Drosophila melanogaster: one gene and its partner. The protein of the gene in region 1 interacts with the protein of each later gene in a pairwise test. Each region holds a gene or a part of one and is shown on either strand. Other genes may lie near its edges. The genes, in order: ksh and CG9192.

The links.
Region 2: the proteins of ksh (region 1) and CG9192 interact in a two-hybrid assay, tested with the Drosophila melanogaster proteins (one large-scale study listed by BioGRID).

Annotation. Positions count from the first base shown.
Region 1 is NC_004354.4:19,493,710-19,496,673, reverse strand, and holds ksh (kish), read left to right. Parts: upstream 1-1,681; 5' UTR 1,682-1,771; coding exon 1,772-1,774; intron 1,775-1,837; coding exon 1,838-1,947; intron 1,948-2,022; coding exon 2,023-2,128; 3' UTR 2,129-2,254; downstream 2,255-2,964. Other genes in the region: CG12204 (uncharacterized protein), read left to right, coding at 2,295-2,964.
Region 2 is NT_037436.4:1,236,536-1,240,462, reverse strand, and holds CG9192 (uncharacterized protein), read left to right. Parts: upstream 1-2,143; 5' UTR 2,144-2,227; coding exon 2,228-3,163; 3' UTR 3,164-3,330; downstream 3,331-3,927. Other genes in the region: galene, read right to left, coding at 1-644, 709-835, 3,380-3,626, 3,686-3,892.

The DNA of each region.
Region 1 (2,964 bases):
AATAAAGAGCGCACACTAGAGCGCGACTTTTTTGCATTGCATTGGTGTGTTATCGGTGTCGGTGGCCGCTCTGCGCATGTGCGTAGTGTTTTGGTGTTCGCGGGTGTAGGTCCATGGGTGAATGTGTCATGAAAGCACTGGAAGAGGATATAATAATGCAACTCACCTCCGGTTCGCAGCACTTTAAACCGTAGCACTTTAAAATTGGGGGTGGGGTTAAAAGAGCATATACTGTTTGTATTTTACACTTTTCACTCACGATTTACCGCCCCTCGAGTGGGGCACTCCGATAACTTTGGCGCGGATCTATGCGAGTGGCCGTCACTGTGCTGTTAGCAGCTAACAGTGCTGTAATCGCCGACGTCAACGATACACGCAAGTGCGTGTGTTTGGCGCGCGTGCGGGTGTGTGTGTGTACTTACATAAATACACATGCAAGGAACCGATTCGCGGATCATAGCTTAGCTTAATATTGCAGTCGGGAACTTACCGCTTTGCCAGTGCAGCGACTGGAAGTCATCGCTGCTGCTGCTGCCACAGAATGTTATTGTTTTTCTTGTTGCAGTTCCTGTTTGCCTCTCTGTTGCTCCGGCTGCTGTCTCGCTCGTGTTCCCTCTCTCTTACTCACTCGCACTTAACAACAAAACCCAGCGCGCTCGTCACACACACACTGTATTACTGATTTAAATACACACGCACACACACCGACAGGGGGGGCAATGAGAAAACGTATCCGATTATTATATATATGTACATGTATATCTAAATATACTTTTGATTTTTATGAGCGCGCTCAGTTACAATTGCATTGGCAGCACCATCGTATTCACAGACGTACACGCACACACATTGGGGATGCACTCGGTCGGGATTCTCCGCTCCTGCTCCCCTCCTTCATCCCCTCGCGATACCAAGTGGAAAACGAAAACGGGCCACAAAAATGAAGAAAAGAGCCAAGGAAAACGCAAAAGCACGGGCGGACTTAAAGCCAAATCGAACGATTTACTGACGCTCGCCGAGAATTGGCCAAAGCTCACCAATCGGAACAGCAAGACACTGATTTGCCAAGCGGGCGATCGAAATTGATCGGATTATATGTAACAACAAACACAAAAAAAATACCCGCAGCGAATTAGAAGTTGCAGACAAATTGCTAGAGGTGGCCCACTGCGTCGATGTTTATGCGATACTATGTGCGATAAGTGTGGACCCATCGATTGCTGTTCCGCGCCAGTCGATTGAATTCACTTGACCTAATAGCCCGATTCCATTGGCACATATTTCAATTGGGGGAAGCTCCACTGCCAACGTTAATTGAAACAAAGTCTTATCTTATTTCATTTACTTGACCCACGGTTGGATTGCAATACAAGTTCCGATACTATCGAAATTAAGCTTACGTTTTTTTGTATACGATGTCTTTTGTAAACTCTTGCACTTTTCAATACTTCCTATGGCGTTTTTATGCTCCCTGTGGGAACTTGGCTAAGAGCTTGTTACTTTCTATTGTAAAATATTTATCCAATGTCCATCCCAGATAATGGAAGTAGGTCGCCAAAATATGTATTTAATATAAATATATTCTTATATTAACTCCTAAACATTGTAACATTCCTTATCATTCTAACAGTTGATTAACCACCTATCGAATCAGTCGAAACGTGAGATTCCAGTTTTGGAACCAGTTCGCCTGCGCCGAGCGGCTGGCACGTCACTAGTTTACCGCTTGTTGTTATTCTATCGCCAAGCACGGATTTCGATTTGCTAAATCATGGTTTGAAACGCTCACCTAACCGATACTCCTCCGTCGTACACTTAGCACCGTTTCCCTCCACAGAGCGCCCTGTTCAACTTCCACAGCCTGCTGTCGGTCATCCTGCTGCTGATCTGCACCTGTGCCTACCTGCGCTCGCTCTTCCCCAGCTTGATAGACCGCAACAAGACCGGGTAGGTGCCCGTTCCCGCCCTGACCAGTCCACTGATTGTTACCACACTCAACACTCGTCTGCTGTCTGTTTGCAGATTCATGGGCACCTTCTGGAAGCTGGCAAGGATTGGGGAGCGCAAGTCGCCGTGGGTAGGAGCCGCCTGCCTGATCATGGCCTTCACCGTTCTCTTTTGGAGCTGAGCTCCTGCATCCCGCATCCCCTCCAGGAGCCGAATGGCACCATAGATTAGATATTCCAAACTTTCTAGGACTGTAAATACACGCTGCGTTCTGCAGCACTGGCCGCACATTTCGGGCTTTCCCAACACTTGCTGTTCTGTTCTGTTCTGTTTCGCGCTGGCTAAAAATGTCTGGCGAAGATGTGGACGAGAAGCGAGAACAGCTGCGTCTTTTTGTGACAGCCAGCAGGAGGCGTCTCCACGTCATCCTGCAGCGCTTCGGTTGGAGCGAGCGCGGGGTGATGGGGGCGGGTAGCCACAGACCACAGGACAAAAACGGCGCAACTAAATCGGAGGTGTTAGAGCCATTGCCATTGCCGGCGTCATGCAGCAACAATCCCGACTTTAGCATCCAGCTCGATGACTCGACTATTCAGGGCATTGTGGGCACCGAAAGAGCACGACGCCTCCTTCCTGCTGCCTCCTTTGATGATCTGCAGGCAGGACTCGACGCGAGTCAGCGGCTGCTCATCTACGAGCACGTTCTAAAGCACACCAAGAAGCACCCGCAGTTCCAGGACAACACCGCCTTCGCCGAGGTGGTGGGCGAAACCCGGCGTCAGCAAAAGAATCATCGGCGCCACCGCAAGAGCAAGCCCACGCTCAACGAGGAGCTGCACCAGCTAGTCAGCCTGCAGATGCAGGCGCTGGAGAAGCAGTGGGAACAGGAGCACGGCGGGCGGCATCATAAGCAAGTCGACCGACAGGAGCACCGCGGACGGTATGTTGAGCAATCCCAGCAAAGGACGCAAACGGAGCGGCAACAGGATCACAAGGGACGACGCGATAAGCCAGCGG
Region 2 (3,927 bases), on another chromosome or scaffold:
AAGAAACGTGCCTGGGATCCACGGACTTGGCCCTACTTCTCCCAGGTGCCGAGTGAAGACGATGCAGTTCTCTGGACGCTTTGGAAGATTCCTGATTGTGTGGCGATCGAACCGATCGCACACTGGCAGCTCTTTTCGCAGGAGGTTGCATGTCACCGAAGTCCTCAATGGATCCAGCATCCAAGTGGGATCGAGAGTAGCGCTCCCTTTCTACCGTGTGTCTGTCCCTCATCCGATCCCGTTGTCTTTGCCGGCTACTGTAGCGGTTGGATCTGTTCAGGGTCTGAGTTTCGTACCCATCTCCGTAAATGGTGTGACGCTGGCGAGGATCGTGATGCAAATGCTGCTGCTGCTGCTGACGACGATTGCGTCCGCCTCCACTGCTCCGATGTCCGAACTCGCGGTCATCGTAGCCCCGGCCCATGGTGCGCAGGTCGGGATCTGAATAGGCATGACCCATGGAAGGACCCAGACCCGAGTCATTCCCAGACCGTTGGGTCATCTTCATGGAGCGCCGGAACGAGGGCGGCGGCTGGGATCGGGCATGGCGCTGAGAGCGCATCGATCTCTGCCGGGATCGGGCATTCCTCGGACGTTTGGCCGTGCGGGTGCACACATAGCAGCATATTCTCCAGTACAGAAACCTATATTGGAATATATGTATGAAAACATACTCATTTAGTTCTCAGCTCATCGATGTCAACTCACCGAAATGATGTGGCCATGACATCGCCAATGTTGGACAAGCAGATGAGCATCAGCGGAATGCCCACAATGGCGTAGAAAATCGTTGTCACCTTGCCCCAATCCGTACGCGGCGATATGTGACCATAGCCTGTCCAGAGAATGACAAGGAACACATAATTACTCTTTCGCAGATAGGTAAGATTGATTTTGAGTCACCTTTCACCTTCAACCTCGTGACCGCAAAGTTCTTGAAATACTAATGAATCTAAGACCCGCTAAGGCCCAATCCCCAATCCATATGTACTTCTTTTTGTTCATGCCAAGCCCATTATCGCTTCGAAATAGCAAACATGGCATTTCAAGTCTGCCGCTTTTGGCCTTTACGGAAGTGTGCAAATTCGTAGATAGCATTCTGTGCCCCTCTTCGCGGGGTTCTATCTGATGGGCGTCGGTCACTAAACCCATTTGTGTGCTAGCCGTAAATCCATATCGGGGAAAAGTGCAGACGAAAAGCGTAAAACTAAGCTCCCATCATCAACAGCCAGAGCTAATAAACTGATTTATACCAAATACTTCCACTCGAAAGCCGAAAAGTTGAATGCTCTAAGTGGGTTAAAGTGAAAAAGGTTTCTGTATACTTTTAAAGTAGGAGAGTTTATAGAGTTCTTGGGGTTTGCTTAAGGCCTTCGATTGAAAACCTTCCATGCACCACTTCCCCTTTTATGAGTAATCACTAATCACCAACACCCCCTGTGTGTTAGGGTATACTAATAATGAGAAATTCCCATCGTTAAAATCTAAAAATCTGAAATGCCAGAAAAGATAATCACGATCGGTCAGTGGCGTTTGACCTTGCTGTTGTTTTGACCACAAACAATTGGATGGCAGCAATCCACTTTTGGTTTCATTTGACACGCTCCACACACCCTCGCTCCCTTTGAAAGCCATCACCACCCGAATGAACCCATTTTTAGAGGTCAACCACGTGCTGGCTGCTCACCTGACTGTGTCCGAGCTGAATCTTTGACTTGTGACTCCCGCCCTGCAAAGGAAGCAAGCATATGTTTTCCAACTCATGGAAATTCCCAGGAATAAGCTTTTAGGTCGATCGGTGGTGGTCAATTACCGTGATTTATGCGATTTCAACGTGATCGCTGTGTGGACAAAACCAATTGTCCGACTCATCCGCTTGCCTCATTGGTTCCTGGGCGGATTGCGGTCTGGTCGCGCTTCAGGTGAATCAACGTGGGCCAAGACTTGGGCCACAGATCTCTGAAGATTTCTGTCTGGCACGATCGTTGATTCATTGGTCGGGCAGCCGCCGAATGCGAATACCTGCGGCTGCCCTCGTCGCTTGACTGAGTTTGTGCGTCGTCATCGCCGCTGATGTCTCTGGCGGTTGTATTTGTTTTTTGGTTCTCGGGTGCGGTTATATAAGTAGTGTGTGCCGGTCGCATTTTCGAACTATTCTGTTGCGGGAGCTTGCCGCGATCAAGCGCAAAAATCGGGTCAGTGTGTAATCGAACAAAGCGTGCCAATCATGCCAAGCTATTGCCTCATCATCGTCCTATGCCTTCTTGGATCAGTGGCGGCTAAGTCTTCGGATGGAGATCGAGATCAGTGGGTCTGGAGGTCCTACAATCGCAGGGAGCGCTCTTTTCGGGACATCAATCGCAGTTCCCCCATAAGGAACTCGTACGACGAAAAGCTGAGGCGGGAGCCCACGACTCGAAGACCTTTTCCGGGCGAACCGGAGAATGATGAGATAGAGGACTATGCCGATGTGGAGCCCACCAGGTCATCGGACACTCCCAACGTAGGCACCCGTCAGTTTAATCCATACGGTGGTCAGACCAATGCCGGACAGTTCGGAGGACTTGGAGGCTATAACGGAAACCCCGGAGTGCTAGTCGGACCTGGCGGACCCACCGGAATCATAGGGAGACCGCAGCTATACCCCACTCCCTATCAGCCAGGCTATGGTGGATTCTCTGGAGCTCAAAATGGCATTAGTGGATATCCAGGCGGATACGGAGGAGTAGGACAGGGACTTCCCGGAGCTGGATTCCCCGGAGCCAGCGTGGGTGGTGGGTTTAACAACTTCCCCAGTAATGGACTTGGCCTCAACCAATTTCCTGGCAATGGGCAATACCCTTACGGCTCCTATCCAGGTGGCGACTTCGGTGGAAGCCAATTCGCGGGCGCAGGTGCCCAGTTCCCAGGATTGGGACAGTACCCAGCAAACCAACAGTTCGGTGGACCTCAGTACACCGAGGGCTATGGTCTGGCAGGAGGACTGGGCTTAGGTCAACTTGGAGTAGGCAACGGTGGACTCGGATACGGTGGAAGTTTTCCACCTCTAGGAGGAGGCTTCGGCTATGACGAGAAATCGCCAGCTGTGGCCGATGGTAAGAGTGCTAAGAGTGTGGCAGCGTCACCCAGAAAAGTGAATGATAAGCTCAGTAAGAAGGTCTAGAGCTTCGTGTTTTAGAAGTGGAAGGTGTTATGTTAAAGATATGGAACTGAAGCTATTACTTTCCCACTCAACCCTCCTTTTTCCCTTAGGCTGAGTTGGAAGTAGTCACCTTAGTGTAGGCATAGTTTACGTATAGACTAAGCAAATAAATTCCCATGTTTACTCACACATGACTTTGAAGAACTCAATCCATAAGCTTAAAAAAAACATACTCACCTATGGTCGTTATCACAATAATCGAGTAGAACAGGGATCCGGCAAAGGTCCACTGGGACTTGCGCAGATCCTCGTCGCCATCCCAGCCGTCGGCCTTGATGGCCGTAAGGATTTGCTTTTCAAAATTGGCCAGGTGCTTGCTGACATTGGCCATCCAATCGCTTTCCCTTAGGACCACTGCGTCGTCGGACAGTAGCCAGATATTCTCCGTGAGATTAACGCGAAGATTCTGTATGTCTCGCTTCACCTGCATGGGGATTTTGGATTTTTAGCATTTGAGACCTTCCAGCAAAATCACCCACTCACCTCTAGTTCGTGGGGTCGTTCGAGATGCTGGAAGAGGTAGGCACCGCCCACGCAATAGGAAACCACGAGAAGCACGAGCAGCACATGGGACACAATGCAGGTGAGCACCTTCCACGAGAAGCAGATGGCAGCTACACAGCGTCCGCGTTGCGGCTTCGCTGGCTCCAACATGTGCGCCGGCAGAGATTGGGCCCGCCTACCCGACATGGTCACCCTCCTCTGGCCTCCTCCTTCCTTTGGCT